Schizosaccharomyces pombe: one gene and its partner. The gene in region 2 interacts genetically with the main gene of each other region. Each region holds a gene or a part of one and is shown on either strand. Other genes may lie near its edges.

Evidence for each region.
Region 1: mutations in trs130 (region 2) and ppk29 together harm fitness more than expected from each alone (negative genetic interaction), as found in Schizosaccharomyces pombe (one large-scale study listed by BioGRID).

What each region holds. Positions count from the first base shown.
Region 1 is NC_003423.3:2,487,658-2,496,623, reverse strand, and holds ppk29 (Ark1/Prk1 family protein kinase Ppk29), read right to left. Parts: upstream 4,779-8,966; 5' UTR 4,702-4,778; exon of another isoform or gene 4,664-4,701; 5' UTR 4,577-4,663; coding exon 4,477-4,576; intron 4,405-4,476; coding exon 4,271-4,404; intron 4,232-4,270; coding exon 1,847-4,231; 3' UTR 1,406-1,846; downstream 1-1,405. Other genes in the region: SPOM_SPBC557.05 (arrestin, meiosis specific), read right to left, coding at 14-227, 271-843, 886-1,400; pim1 (RCC1 family Ran GEF), read left to right, coding at 5,796-6,401, 6,577-7,590; SPOM_SPBC557.02C (uncharacterized protein), read left to right, coding at 7,688-8,299; Rho-type GTPase-activating protein Rga5, read right to left, coding at 8,732-8,966.
Region 2 is NC_003421.2:1,821,617-1,829,320, reverse strand, and holds trs130 (TRAPP complex subunit Trs130), read right to left. Parts: upstream 6,001-7,704; 5' UTR 5,948-6,000; coding exon 5,920-5,947; exon of another isoform or gene 5,871-5,919; coding exon 5,644-5,870; exon of another isoform or gene 5,556-5,643; coding exon 3,885-5,555; intron 3,841-3,884; coding exon 3,415-3,840; intron 3,391-3,414; exon of another isoform or gene 3,373-3,390; coding exon 2,272-3,372; 3' UTR 2,218-2,271; coding exon of another isoform or gene 2,079-2,217; 3' UTR 2,029-2,078; coding exon of another isoform or gene 1,961-2,028; 3' UTR 1,520-1,960; downstream 1-1,519. Other genes in the region: msh6 (DNA mismatch repair protein), read left to right, coding at 1-1,519; rps2802 (40S ribosomal protein eS28), read left to right, coding at 1,961-2,028, 2,079-2,217.

The DNA.
Region 1 (8,966 bases), on a different chromosome or scaffold from region 2:
CTTCATTTCTGCTTCAGGAATATAAAAAATAACGAGTATTTCTCATACGCCTAGCCGCTGACAATGCGTCATATGATAAACTATTTCCTAATCGCACAGATATAGGAAGCCCATGTGGTGAGGCTTTATTCGTTAGTTTTTCTAGATTTAAAAATACATTCTCTTGCTCTAACGAAAGGGAATTGGCCGAAATAATTTTGAACGGTATTTCTACTCGATTAAGTGTCCTTGAAGTATTAGTATATATCTTAATTAAATTTTAATCCTTACCATAATTTATTCCCGACAGAAATTTTCAAGAAATGGTCAACTTCAAAATTTGAGCCGACGGTTATTGTTGCCTCTTTATCAGGTATTTGAATATGACATTCAGTTGTATACGTTTCTAGAGCAGCTATTCCATTCCAATTATAGCAGTTACTCTTTTTATTACATCTGATTGTTTCTTTTTGCAAACATTTGCATGTTTTGGAGACTTCTGAATTCTTTCGGCTTAAATTTAAATGGCTCATCATTTGCTGTGTCTTCCAACTTGGTGGATCGAAGCCAATAATACGTCTGTACAAACAAAGTTTTAAGGTTTTAATTGAGGATTTGCTATGGTTTTCGATTTTAATTTTCGAAACCACTGACTCACCGGCAAGCCAGTCTGTTCGGGGCAAACTCACAGTAATTCTTGTGGCCGATTTACGTTGACGGTCCTTTTTTAAGTCTGGTTGTTTACTTACGCACATAATGGAGGGAGAGTCTAAAAACGAGGATGGTGATATGCTGGGTAGTACATTTATTTCTTGGCATTCTCTCCGACTTCTCAATTTGTCTGCGCTTTGGTAAATTATATTGCTTAACTGTTAGCTTGCGTGTATCATTGTCACTTTTACTTACGCGTATGCAAAATACTGTACCTTTACCCTTGAATGGATTTGTCGGCCAGGTCCTACTTCGACGTGTTTAGGAAAATTGACTTGAAATGGAATGTCAACTGTTGAATGATTGGGAATACTGATTATCCGGTTTTTCCCCCTTTTTTTAGCATAATCTAAGAGTTCTTCTGGTACAATGTATTGCCCTTCCATGATGTGAGTTCCTAAACACAGGAAGACTGTTGACGAATGAAACTTGTGTTTACATATTCCAATTATAAAGACTTCGATACTGATCAGCTGAATTTCGTTTACTTTTGACTTATTAGTTAGTGTTAGCAGCCCGTCTATTCCTGCTTTTCGGTGGAAAATTGGTGCATCAAAATCCAAAGTAAGATTGACATCTTTAGTTTCCATTTGCGGGTTGGCAATTAAATCAAATATAATTTCTTTACCAGCATAACTAGTATTAATACATGTAATTACTGGTTCTTTACTAAATCGAAAGAAGCGCTTTCCTTTCTTCCACAAATCCATGTTATCTAGTTGGGTATTTGTTTGTTTACTTGTTCTGATTATTTAACCACGATTGGAATAACGAGCTTTGACAACATAAAACTCTGCGCTGAAAATAAATAATAACTTGTCAATAACTAAAGCTTTTACAATAATCCAAAAAATGGAATTTATATTGAAAAACTGATATTAGAATTTTGGCTACTATGTATCCGAGTTATGTATAGGGAACTCCAATTCCTGGAGAACTAGTGAACAACGATAGATACAGAGAATAACATGAGTAAAAATTCCAAAGACTTGAAGCACAGGCCGTGACATCAAGCGGTACATATCAAAAAATCATCCATCTAAAACTCTTCAAAGGCAACACCGAATTTGCATGAAGGATTTATATATATAATAAGGAAATAAATCATTGCAAAAAAATATAATTAGTTTAAAGTCGGTAAAGTCTGGTTGATAACTCAAATATTAACGTTCTTTTCTGCATTCGAATTGGGTTCCTCGTAATCAACAATTCCCGGATATTTTTGCTCAAATAACGTGTCGTTTAATTCCTCTGGAAAATTTGCAGGTCTATCACTTACGCTTCTGGAGGTTTCTGCACTTTGAATAGAAGCTACAGGCCTCAAATCGTTATTAAAAGACGTCTCTTGAATTTCTGTGTCTGTTAAATCTGGATTATGGAAACTTGAACTTGAGCGGTTAGCATAACTTCGTACACGCTCTCTTAATTCACTTTCACCTTCCAATCCTTCGTCAACATACTTGCTTGGAGAAAATTTAAAGTACGGATTTTTGTCATGAAAAGAAGGACGCTTCTTGTCAAGACTTGCCCGCTCACTATGTAAACTCACGGTTCTTTGTAAACCATTAAAAGTTCCAAAGTCGTCAACATCGGAGGCAATAGTGTTGGCAACAGAAGACGCGGTCGAAGTAGGATAAAGAATAGAGTTGGTTGAATCGGCAACAACGTCAGAAGCATTAATATCAGTACTAAGGTTTGACATATCTTGGGGTTCGATATTTGTCAAAGGATTGGCAGACTGTTGTGTGCGTTGAACGATATAGTCACCTCTAGTATTAGATGTTGTACGATAGAGCATAGTAGGACTGGAGGGGAGCCCCTCTTTAGATGTGTTTCTGGAAGTTTTGTTCGAATCTTTATGAGAAGGTGAATAATATTTGGAAAATGATTTGGCATGTCTAAGAGAATTATTAGAACCAAAATTAGTATTACTCAAATCATCAAGGTTAAAGGAGTGTTGCTCATAAGCCATAGAACGCGCATTGGGGCTCGAAGGTCCAGTAATTTTAACAGACGACCTAGAAGTGCTTGAAGGTCGTCTAGATACTGGACGATCAGGGAAATCAAAAGAAGACCTTACGCTACCAACCCCTTCCGAAAAATTTGTATCAAAGGCAGATATATCCTGAGTACCAGTGGTATGAGTACTATTTGCGGTTGAAGTACCAGCTGTCTGACGGAAACTAGCGAATGCATCATCAGCCAATTTTGCTATCTCTTGTTCCCTAGGGTTATGATGAGAACTAGTCGTAATATTAGTATGACTAGTAAGCTGTGACTCCAACTCATTTAGATCAGGATAACGCTGGTTAACAACTTCCTCAACGTCAACGTTATCGGCATCGAGTCCGGCGTTTGGTGAACCATTATCTTCTGTAACCTCGCTAGCAGAAAATTTTGAAGATGTTCCCGTGACTCCCTGAGATATTGGGAAGGGATTCTTACTTTGAGGTGTGTAGACTTTGCGACCACTAGCTCCTGAGCCAGTTACAGAACTTGATGAAACAACCTTCGGAGACGAAACACTCTGTCTGTTCACATCTTGAGTGTTGTTAAATGTTGCGGATTGGCTGTGGATAGAAGGATGTGCACTAGCTTGAGAAGTGCCAGAGAAAGTAGGTTGCAAAAATGGATTAGGGGAAACGGTTGGTACAGTCGGCACATTTGGTACGTTATAGATAGGAGCTGGCATAGGAGGAGGAGGGGGAGGTCTTGAGCCCTGAACCTGTGGAGTCGGCATGACTTGGTTTCCAGCAAACGGTGTTGTTGTTGTTTGTCGAAGCAAAGACATTATTTTCCGGTTATGCAAATCATAAAAAGACGACTCTCTTCCACTGTATATATCCCTAAAAGGTAAAGCCGTCCCTCTAAGACGACATATCTCACACATCAACTGAAAAATATTTGGACGAAGACAAGGATTCGGCTGAAGTAAAGCGATGATGACATTTTTAAGAGAATGTGAATAAGGAGGAAATGGGGGGAAGGAATATGAAGCTGTTAATATAGCGTTAGGACCTTGTGTTTCAAAAGGAGTTGTATAGTAACAGAGTTTGTATAACAAGACTCCTAAAGCCCACATGTCACTTTTCTCATCAATTCCTAAGCCTGAATACAAATTAATCATCTCAGGGGCACGATATTGGTAGGTAGTAAATGTGTTGATACTTTTTTCTAATGCTTGAATTTCGCTAGAGTTTTCAGCAGCATGCATTGGCTCAGTCACACTTCCAAAATCGCACAATTTAAAAGTATTAAAGCTTAGCAAAACATTTTCTACTTTCAGATCGCGATGAATGAGAGGAGGTCTCAGATAGTGTAAGGAAGCAACACCCTGTACAATATCTGAAATAATTTTTAAGACTTCATGCTCTGACAACCGAGTTTGTAACCTTTGATTCATAAAATCTATCAATCCACCCCCAGCGCAGTATTCCATCAAAAGCAGGATTTCAAATCCAGTGTTGACACCCGCTTTCTCGAGAGGAAATATGCAGGAGTCGATATACGAAACCACGTGGGGATTGGATTTGAGTAGTTCCTAATAAGTTAGACAAAAAAATCAATAACGTTAACATACCATCGTTTCGATTTCAGTTTTCACGAAACGCAGGGCATTCTCGTCTGGAGAATACATGCGTTTCAAAACAGCAGTTATCGGTGATCCATCAGTTTTGGAATTTGTTTGAACAAGATATACATGAGAAAAGCCGCCTAATGAAAAATGTTAGTAAAATAAATCTTTCATTGTAATACTCCTCGATCCATCCAACCCAAAAATTATACCTTCGGCTATGTACTTTTCGATAGTAACATTGTATTTTCCAATTACAAACTTGGATCCTGCTAGAAGCTTTTCGCCCGTGAGAAAGGATGCAACAGACATCCTAGAGAGGTTTTTTGTTCAATACTGGCTGAAGTCGCGAGGTTATTGTTTACACTCTCGCAATTCAATGGGACAGCATCCGAAGCCCTATCTACGTTAGTTGTAAATTTATTATAATAACTTACTCTTTGAAAAGGCTGTATTTACACAGTTTTGATCAAGATGAGCAAGGGATGCCAATTCTGCTGTTGGCAAGGTACTGAGCCAGTCACCAAACACCACAAGTCCCTTCTATAGGGTTAACCTTTGAGCCATTACCGATAGATAAAACCGCCCCCCACAAGACAACTTGCCGTATTTTGAAAATTTCAACTACAACTTTTAATAATTTGAGCTGATTAAGAAGAGAAATTAATTTTACAGTATACTCAAGTTCACAGGCAAACTTGTAGAATCAAGTTGAGTAACATCGTTACCCAAATTTATGACATGGCAAATTCACAGACATATAAATCCAGAAAAGAATAAAGAAAACAGAAACTGCTAACGACTATGTTCATTGTAACTAAATATTAAATCATGAGGGAAAAAAGTATATGGTCCTCATAAAAATAATTTATGAAGAGATTAAAATCGCGTTGCTTGAGTTCGTATTCTCGCATACGATCTTGCTGAACGATGGACACTCCGAGTCTTACTGTAACTTCTTATGACTAATGAGCTTTTTTTTTAAATTTGATCTTTGTTTAGCTATACATGAAACCGCTTTCTCAGATAAGAAGAGGTCTCAAATTTTCAACATTCGACGTGATTAAACGAATTTATATAAATCAAATGAAGTTAAAAAAAAAGAAAGGATTTCATAAAAATTCGTAGCTCACCTTACACACATTTGAACAAATACAAGCTGGGAACTTTTACTGAAGTCAATAACTTATTTTGCTAAACGAAGCTTATGTTGTAATTAACGAATGCTTAATTACAAGCTGCACATAACAACGATTCGCAGTATACTGAATAGTGAGAATCCGTATACAGAACGACTTGTTCGAGTTTTGAAAACAACGTCTCTGCGAAAACAAAAACGACATAAATCGTTGTTTTTTGTCTTTTGTAATATTTTAAACCCAAGCTATAGTAAGTGGTACCAAAAAGTAAATGTAATTCTTGGATTTGCGTCTGGTGATGGTTGCATGGAATACGCGATGACATCTTGTTCTTTTTTAAATTACAAATCGATTGTTAGTAGCAAAGCTAACCCTTCCAGCTAAAACTCATAATGACTTCTAATAGAAGTACTAGAAGCTCAACTAAAAGAGAGGAGGTCTCAAAAAATGGGGTTGAAAAAAGAGAATTAGATGAATCAGATGTGATGAAAAATGGCAAAAAGCCGGTTAAACGTGCAAAGGTCAGCTCTCTACCCAAACCCGTTCGTGTCCCAGGAAGCGCAAAGCGAATTAATAAGATACCTGAACTACCTACGGAACGATTGAACGTTTACGTCTTTGGAAGCGGTTCCATGAACGAGCTAGGTATGGGCGAAGAAGAAATGGATGTCGTTTATCGTCCTCGTTTGAATCCTATTTTATCTACAGATAAAGTAGGAGTAGTCGATTTGGCTGTTGGCGGCATGCATTCTGCAGCCCTTTCTCATGACGGTCGCGTATACACCTGGGGAGTTAATGATGACTATGCCCTTGGTCGTCTTACTAAGGATCAAAAGGATGAGAATGGAGACAAAGTTGACAATGATTTACTAGAGGGAACTCCTTCTAAGGTCGAAGGTGCTTTATCTCATCTACGCGTTACAAAAGTTATATGTAGCGACAATCTCACTGCAGCAATAACGGACAATGGCTGCTGCTTTACTTGGGGTACTTTCCGTGTAAGTAATTTGTTTTGGCCGTGAAAAATTATCATTTGATCTTTGATTCCAAATTCAGGTGCTGTTATCGTTGCAGTGTTGTTTATAGTCTATTGACTCATTGTATCATTTCCCTTCGCCCTTTTGGAACAAATGGCTTTATAAATTTATCATTTTTCGTTTGCTAACATACTAGTGTTCCGATGGTGTATTAGGGTATAGCGATTCTCAAAAACGTACAGCTGAACCGACGCAGATGCGACTTCCCGAAATTTGTCAATTAGCTACAGGGACGGACCATATTATTGCCTTGACTACCACAGGAAAAGTATATACATGGGGTAATGGTCAACAGTTTCAACTGGGTAGACGTATGTTAGAACGTCGTCGACTTCAAGGCTTGACTCCTCAACCGTTAGCTTTAAAAAATATTATTTCAGTTGGAGCAGGATCGTATCATTCTTTTGCGATTGACAACAAAGGACGCGTTTATGCTTGGGGCTTAAATATAACCAGACAATGTGGAATAGAGGTAGAAGATGAAGAAGAAGGCGCCGTTATTACAAAGCCTACACTCGTTGATGCTTTAGAAGGATATAATGTTAAGTCTATTACAGGTGGTGAACATCATACCCTAGCCTTACTTGAAGATGGGAGAGTGTTAGCCTGGGGTCGAGATGATCGTCATCAATTAGGAATTCCGGATAATGCACTTCCAGAAACAGTAGTTAAAGATGAAAAGGGAAACAATTACTACTTGTCAACCCCTACTATAATCCCAGGACTTACTAATGTTATACAGGTCGTGTGTGGTACCCATCACAACTTGGCTGTTACCTCAGATGGTAAGGTTTATTCATGGGGATCTGCTGAAAACTACGAGGTTGGTCAAGGTGATAATGATGAAGATGTAGCTGTTCCTACATTAGTTCGTTCCAAGGCAATCAAGGAAGTGGCGATCCGTGTAGCGGGTGCAGGTGGTCAATTTTCCATCATTGCTGGTATTCCCAACGCTTCCGAAGAGCCAGTTGCAAATGGCATAAAAAGCGAACCCGAAAATGAAAAAAAATTAAAAACCGAAGAAACTTCCAAAACGGATGACTCTCCCGTTACTGATGCAAAGCCCGATGTCACCTCTAACGGCGAACCATCTACCGCTACATCTGAATCTAAGGATTCTGTTCTCGAACCCAGCTCCACCACTGCTTAGTACTTAATTTCTCAATTTCTTTTAACTATTTTTGGGCTAGATAAATTATTTTGAATATCAATGTGTTTGATGCATACAAAATTCATGAGTTTTCCAAATGGATAAAAAAATCGCAGATTTGCTTCAAGAGCTTCAAAGCTCCTCCAACGTAACGAGTAATCAGCTTGAAAATGTAGACAAATCATCCATCCCTCTATCGAAGGCTCGGAAACCCTCTGATTTTGAGTTGAACAATTCTATAGAGGACGCAGAAAAAATTAAAACCTATCCCGCTGCCTTGAGGTACATCTTTGCCCTAAATTCCCGCCATCCCGAAAAGTTACAAAAATTAAGAAAGATGAAGGCTATGCAGGAACGTCAAGAGCGCAACTGGTCTCTGGAACGGCAGCGGCTAGTTCAACATTTTGAGTCGAAAACTAAGCTTCAAGAAATACTGAAACCGCTTTCCTCCGACCCTAAATTGAAACAACCGTCCAATTGTCTTAATGACCAGACCAACAATGATTCCGCTCAAACTTTAGATGACAATAGGGCTTTACAAGAATTTGATGAACAAGTGGTACAATTGACAAACAGGATGTACAAAGAACAGCTTGCAATCCTTGCAGACCTGAAGATACCATTGTTTTTGTCAGTGAATAATGATGAAGAGTTATCTGAAGATCAGAAGCGCCTCTTACAATTGTTACAGGATCTCCTTGGAGCCTAATAAAGTATAGATTGATAAATCCTTTCTGGTTACAATGTCGTTGTTGTTTTCATAAAAGTTTCTTTGTACAGATATATGGACACCAAATTAATAAAAATTTAAAATTACGAAAGTAGCTGAAAGCTGTCAGATAAATTTACTATGTAGATAAATATATTGATCTACCAAAACAAAAAACAATTACAAAAAACAATAACGAATTGGATAATTTGTTCTTACTATGGTTAAGTAGAACTTCTAAAATGAAAATGGCTGAATACAAAGAAAAAAACATAAAACGACAGTAGCGGTATCCAGCCTAAATGCAAATCCCAATAAAACTAAAAGAGCGGACGGTAACAACTAAGTATATATGTACAAAAAGATTCTTCGCCATACAACCAAGGACAAAGACAATTAAACTAGATAAACAGAGAAAAACAATTAAAAGTATTACATACGATTTTCCCTCCGGCGATCAAGTGTATGGAAAAGCTTCATAGATGAGCTTCTAGACAATGAATACGAACGAGATTTGATTCTTGGGGGTGAACCAGGATCCACCTCGGAGCTTTTCATGTTTGAAAAATTTGAACTCGGACTATTGGAATAAGTGGCACTAGAATGACGACTAAAAGAGCGCCAACGCTTAATGGATCCATTTCTTGGATTAAAAGAATTAATCCTA
Region 2 (7,704 bases):
TGACTTGGAACGGTTGATATCACGGGTGCATGCCGGAAGAAGTAAACCCGCAGATTTTGTTCGAGTATTAGAAGGATTCCAACGAATAAATAGTGCATTTGATCAGCTTCGCGAGGAATTCATGGAAGTCGCTGAAGGAACTTTACTAGGAGAGATAATTCAAAGTGCACCTAACATGAAAGAGGAATTAGAAGCATGGACCCGAGCTTTCAATTGGCAAAAGGCTTCAGAAGAAGGTGTTTTCGAACCAGAGATTGGCTTTGAAGCCGAATATGATACTTCTCAAAAATACCAGTCCGAACTTAAAAACGAATTGTATGCGCTTTTAGAGCAATACAAGAAGCAGCTAAGGTGCTCGTCTCTTAATTTTAAAAATATTGGTAAAGAGGTTTATCAGGTCGAAGTCCCAAGCGATGTTAAAGTACCGGTTAATTGGTGCAAAATGTCAGGTACCAAAAAAACCAATCGATACTATAATGATGAACTACGAAAGAAAATAAAGAAATTACTAGAGGCGGAAGAGCTTCATTTAGCAATTATGTCGCGAATGCAGGAGAAATTTTATATTCGATTCGATTCTAATTATGAGCAATGGTTGGCTTTAATTAAATATACTGCATCTATTGATTGCTTTTTCAGCCTTAGTCAAGCAGCCGCAGCGTTGGGTGAGCCATATTGTAGACCGGAAATTATTGAACAGAAGGACGGACACTTGTATTTTGAGGAGTTGAGACATCCTTGTATAAACGCAAGTGCGGCTTCAACTTTCGTTCCTAATGATGTCGTTTTAGGAGGTGAATCCCCAAACATGATTGTTTTGACCGGTCCAAACATGGCTGGAAAGTCCACATTATTGCGTCAAGTCTGTATTGCTGTTATAATGGCTCAACTAGGGTGCTGGGTTCCGGCTAAACGTGCTAGTATAACACCTATGACCAGCATTTACACTAGATTAGGTGCCAATGATGATATAATGTCGGCACGAAGTACTTTTATGGTTGAACTTTCGGAGACAAAGAAAATTTTGGACGAATGTGGACCTAAAAGTTTGGTAATTTTAGATGAACTAGGTCGTGGAACTAGTACTTATGATGGTCACGCGATAGCTTACGCTGTACTTCATCATTTGGTTTCTAATATTGGGTGTTTGGGATTTTTTTCTACACATTATCAAAGTCTTTGCGTTGATTTTATGCATCATCGACAAGTACGATTGATGCAGATGGCTGCAGCTGTTGATGAAAAAATCAGACGTGTAACGTTTTTGTATAAGCTGGAAGATGGTATTTGCCCTAAGTCTTACGGTATGAATGTTGCTAGTATGGCCGGCTTACCTGAGAAGGTAATTGATGCGGCCGAAGAGAAGGCCTCGGAACTTGAGCAAGCGTCTGCCAGCTTCATTAACGCAAGCGATGACATTGCTTTAATGAGTGATTTCCTTCAAGTGTTGCGCATATCAAAGTCAATTGAACCTTTGACAGCAGTGAATATACCTCTCATACTTGATTCGTTTGAATAATAACTGTCAACACTCTATCAGTTTTATGACTATTCAAAGCAATATCTTTCGTTTGCTGGCAAGCGGAAGCTTGCTTTTATTTACCATTTACTTACGTTATTTGCATGTTCACATTAATCAATTTTTTTTTTCTACTGAACAACTAAAATATAAATGTTCACACAATAATTGAAATTAACATAAATGTAGGAAGGACCGGAGAGCTAATTAACCAGCAAACTTCTATATATTACACTTCGTAACTGAGGCATTCTCATAACAGATAGATTTAACGAACAACAACGACAACGTAGGTTATTAATGATTAGACACATCGTTATTTGAGAGAAATGGCAAAATACTATAGATAGTGCATTACGAAGCAAGGTGCTAAAATATATCGTGACTGTCATTTTTGAACACAACAAAACTTCATTTTGAAAGACTTCTTGGTCTAACAACATGGATTCTTCAAAGGTCCCAGTTAAGTTGGCTAAAGTCATCAAAGTTCTCGGACGTACTGGATCTCGGTATGTAACAAAGTGATAGATATTCGAATTAAAAACTAATATTGATACAGTGGTGGTGTTACTCAAGTCCGTGTCGAATTCATGGATGACACATCCCGTTCCATTATTCGTAACGTCAAGGGTCCTGTTCGTGAAGATGATATTCTCGTCTTGTTAGAATCTGAGCGTGAAGCCAGGCGCTTGCGCTAGAAAAAATCTCGAAAGGAAAAATACCTGTTTTTCTATTACCGTACTAAATTCATATTAAGGTGCATAATCTAGATCCGGTTGATCGTTCAAAGGACGCCCGACTAGAGTGTACTTTGTATTCTTCAATATGGAAATATCATCGTCTTTTGAATGAACAACTACTTCTGGTAGCATTACTCTCCCAGCCGTAAGAAACACCGCCGTAACTTGTTCCTGTGCTGTAGTTTGATTTTTTTCCCATACAATCTTTCGTTGAGTAGGTCCAGCAAACAAGATTGTTGTAGTATAAGCTGGAAAATTGTAAAATATCTCGAAGGACTGTCCCTGTTTCTCTTTCTTTGAATGTGTCAAAGATCTAAGGAATGTGAGTGTAATTTCGGTAGGTTTATTCAACAAAACCTTCTGGGGAATCTTCCATATATACTCGATAGTGGTACTTTGCATTTCATCTTTGAAGGGTAAAGGTCCAATTGTTTGATGCAATGAAAAATAGAAGGGTAAGTTTTTTAATCGTTCCTTCTTTTCAAACTCTTGAACGAACGATCTGAGACTATTAAAGGATACTTCGCTCTCTAAATGCTGAATAAATTCACTAAATTCATTCCGAAGCTCCTCATTATCAAAAAATGAGTTTAAAATTTTCTTGCCATTAAGTTTCCGAATCTCTTCAGGCAGTACTACCGTACCTTGGGTAATGTTTGATAAAGAAATCTGTTGACAAGCGTGGTCTAATAACGGCATGATATGTTCGATGTCAATGAAATCGAACCGTTCCCATATGTTTACACATAATTTCATAAATACGACATCTGCAAGACGTAGACAATTCATGGAAAACTTCAAATCTATTGACATATCCGAATCAAAATGGCAGCTCGTAAAGCAATCCATAGGGGATAAGACAGGAATGTTGTAAGGTATATCAAAAACATTATCATATGTACCTTGCTTGGTTTTGCGCATGCAATTCCATGAACAGAAAATGATGGGCTCCTTTGGTTGGATATGTAAAAATATTGTACTCGTAAGGGGATCCCTCATATTATTTGTTTTTTCGCAATTTGCTTCAACAATCCCAGCATTTTCAATATGTAATACTTTACCAAATCGAACTGTCTGCCCAGACTCTAAGATGTAGCTCAAGTTAATAAGAAACTAAATAAGGTTAGCAATAGTGAAATATTTTTTTTTACATACTTCATTTCCTTCAACTGGTGTATTTGTTAGGGGTATATACAACTTGGCTACTCCTGGAACTTTTTGGATGTTTTTTATCACCAAGGAATCAGTTTTTGATTCAAGGCCACAATGCGATTCTTCACTAAGGAAAGACTTTTCCAAATTTGTAAAACCGCTATTCTCTATATAAGATAGTTTTATCTCTGAGCAACTTGCTTTGTAAAATCGTTCACCAAACATAATAGGTATACAAGCAAATATTCCATCATTCTGAAACTGCTGCGAAATTTTTGATTGAAGTATATACAGATGGTTACTATGCTTGGTAGGATTCAATACTTCAATTTGTTTGTTAGAATGCAAGCAATCTTTTTGAAATGATAGCACACTGTCTTTGAGTTTAAAAACTATTGTCTTCAAATGATATCTTCCAGGAATAATATCCTATTTCCATTGTTAATAAACATATAAAAGGTGGGATCACTTACATTACAGTGCACGTTAAGTTTTCCGTCCGTTATACTATTATGCAGCGTAAATAGTAGATTCATTGGATTCTTACTCGAAGAAAGAACATAATTACATGTAACTGAATCAACGCTTTCGAGGTCAAAAACTTTTGACTCGCACATAAAGCTCAAGTTAATTCCATCATCGTGGGGCACCACGGCCATCATATGTGGTATTTCTATTGTAAAAAAATCATCCAGATTCCAAACCTTTGATTTAGCTGTCTTTTTCGAAAGCTCCAATATCTTGTTTTTGTTATATATTGATACCTTCCCTTTAGAAATAGCTGAAGCAAATTCCAAAGCTTCGTCAAACTTTTCAAGTTTTTCAAGTAAGTCTACGTAAAATTTGGACCATTTTTCTTCCAAAGGATCATTTGACCATGCAGTTTGAACGTCCACATTTTTTAACGAAGCATAAGCGTTTTCATAGTCTTCTAGTAGGTATTGTGCCAATCCAGTATCGCAAGCTGTATTAACGAAAGAATAGCGATTCTTATAAGCTTTAAAAATACTTAAAGCCTCAGAAGATAGCCTGTAATACTCTGATAGAAACGAACTGGTCGAAGAGATAGTCTCCGAAAGCTTTTGAAAGCGATTGTCTAATAAGCTATTGTCGTGATGCTCAATCAATGGAAAACTAGGCTCACGCCAAAGGAGAGGCGAAGAATCATCAATCAGGTTGTTCCATCTTGCCATCCTTGTTAACTGGCGACGAGCGTACAGTAAAATTTTTGCACAACACAATGGGATTGGGGTATCATTGTTGTGGATAGCTTCAGTAATTTTCTTAAACAGAAGAGTATAACAATCATAATTAAATGCAGCGATTATTTCCAAATTATTTTGGACGAATTCATTAAAGAAGGACGAGGTTAAAAATAGTAAGGCCTGTTGAAGGGTTGAAAATGCTTTCTCGTAGTCGGATATTTTTAGATTCAGTAAGATTATTTTTGACAAAAGAAATAAAGTGAAATGAAATAATGTAAAATCGCCATCTGCTAAAAGATTGTGGAGGGTATTGTATCGTGATCCTAATATGAGAAAGGAAGAATTGAAATCCTTAAGGTCTGGCTGAGCATCTGAACCCTCTCCCAAGTATTTGGAAATGTTCTCTTTTTTTCCATCTATGGCACTTATTATTTTAGAAAGCGTTGAAAACATGTCTTCGCATTGTTCTAGTGATTCCCGATATAACACAAGGTCAAAAAAGCTAGCGGCCAGCCTTTCCTTTTGAAGAAAAAACAATAGGTAATCAGAGAATATAGAGCTATCAAACAACTTTATCGACCTTATTTGTTCAGAAAGCTGTAAAAATCTGCTATCCAATGAACTGAGGACGGCCCACTCAAGACATTTGAGGAACTCGTTCCAACCTTCAGCATCGGGGGTCCCAAATCGAACATAGTCTAGTCGTACGCAATGATTAATATTTCCAGTATTAAAATCTCCGCGAACCCTATCAATGGTCGATTTTACAGCGAAATAAGAACTAGATCGAGAATGAGTGCGACGCAAACTGTTGGAGCGTTTTGCTTGCTGAGCTTCAGCAACAAGTACAATCATCCAAGATTGATTTTCGTTTTTCGAAACTTTTTGGAACCATTTTGTAGCCAATGGCTTATGCTGTGTTTTGTATATTTCACCGTCCTTTTTTTACAATGTTAGTGCGTGTCAATCAGAATAACTATGGAAGCTGATGGTAGGTTACAAGGTCAACTTTCCTTACTGTACTTACCTGCTCTGGAAGAAAAAGCATGTTTACTAAAGGAATATTCAGTAACGTAGGATCCTTTGAGGTGTCTTGAGACGAAAATTCCTCTAACCAAGGCAAAAATTCAAGATCTAAGCTTGTAATAGTGTGCTTCTTATACTGATATGATTCAACCCATTGCAAATTGCGAAGGGGAATCTTACTCTCAATGTCCGTAGCTATTGAGGGCCATAAGTCAAAAGGATCATAATCTAAACAGCACTTCATTAGCTCACAATTAAAAGAGAATATTTCACTTACATTGAACTATAGGCTTCTTTTTACTCATTAGTAAGAAAAGCCGGAATTGTAAAGTCCTAAATTCTTTACAATGATTATCTTAAGAGTTTTGTTGACAATTGAGTCATATAAACGAATGGTGAGCTATGCTTAGTGTTGTGACCGCAAATCGCGTTAATTGGCTTATGGAATCTTTATGGCTTGTTATGTATATTTAACATGTCAGCAATCTCTTGTTTCGTTACAATACGTTAATTATCTCTACTATTTATGTTTTCTATAATTCGCAATTTCCGCAGCAAATATAAAATTATCGTTCCAAAATTAAAAAAAATCTTTTATTAAATTAAGTGCAGCTGTAGTAAATTTCGAAGTCATGTTTCGTTCGTTTAGTTGTAACTATTCCATATTTAATTATAATATTATGCAATGCATAACTTTGTAACAAAATATATATAATCATTAGTTAACTCTTATACTTGTATACGGTTATATTGTATATAATGTTATTCGCCGCAGCATGGTTTAAAGCAATTTACGGACTTCAACGATGTATTACAGCATACATGAAAAACCAGGTTTGTGCAGTTCGTACAAGTTTCTAAAGATACGCTATATCATCATGACAAGTGCTCCAAGCTAAATAATAATATTGTAGTAAATGTTTCCTGCGAATGTTTGTTCTTGTCTCAGTTATTGATTTATATAATCACTCTTCTTTTTATGACTCTTTATAATATTGTTTTATAAATACTCAGCTTGTAAATTTAAGTGTCCTTAATTAAATAAATTGCAAATTCATCATAAAGTCAAGAAACTATGAGTCCTCAAATGTTTTAATTTAATTATTTCCTAATGATGGCTAAATAATTTTTCTAACATCGTCTTCAATTTTAAGACGGTTTTAATAGTGTAGAGCAATATGCGAAAAAATGAAGACTGTTAATGTTGTTCCAATTCGTGCACATACAAGTAAAAGTACGACTTCTACCTGAGATTAAGGTTATGGAATCTGAACTTCTACAGAATTAATACATAATTTAATCTTCAATTACGAAGATAAATTGTAACTCGTTCGCTTCGTTTATAGACTCGGAGAAAGTCGATGTTGACAGCATAATAACCATTCTTTGAGTTGATATTTGAAGCTTTGGCATTTTCATGAATTGATTATAAAAAAAAATCTTCTCAATATTTTCGAACTGTTTTATTGTACTACATCGCCTGTTATGAATATGCGGCAAATTATATTTGAGTTTATTAATATTTTGTTATTTTGATAGTATATAAAATAGACGCACAAAGATTGTAAGATCTGTAGTGTCTTTAGCTATTTTTTTTAACTTTTTTTTATAATTTTGATTTTTTTTTAAAAATTCATCTTCAAGTTTATGATTGATTATTTCATTTTACAGTGTTCATATTTTGCAAAAGCGTTTTTTTTTAATGCAATGAAACTACTGCCATGATAGAATATTTACATTACTCCTTTTTTTTTTTTTTTTTTTTTTGGAATTTGTATTTTACTTGTAAAGCTTTTGTTGCTTCGTTATATAAATCATTGATGGGGAGTGAAATGTATCTATAAACCCTTTGGCTTACGGCAAAATAGAGTAAACGAAAAAGTAAATTGTTCAATATTAAAAATTTTTAAATATATTTGTTATCGTAAATCAAAGTTACCTTTTCCAAGAATTTAAGTCGTTTGATTGAAACACTCGATTATTTCATTTGGCAAACAAAGCGTAAAACCGTGTTTCAAAAGTTAATATATATACATCTAGAATAATAATAATTTAACTTTCT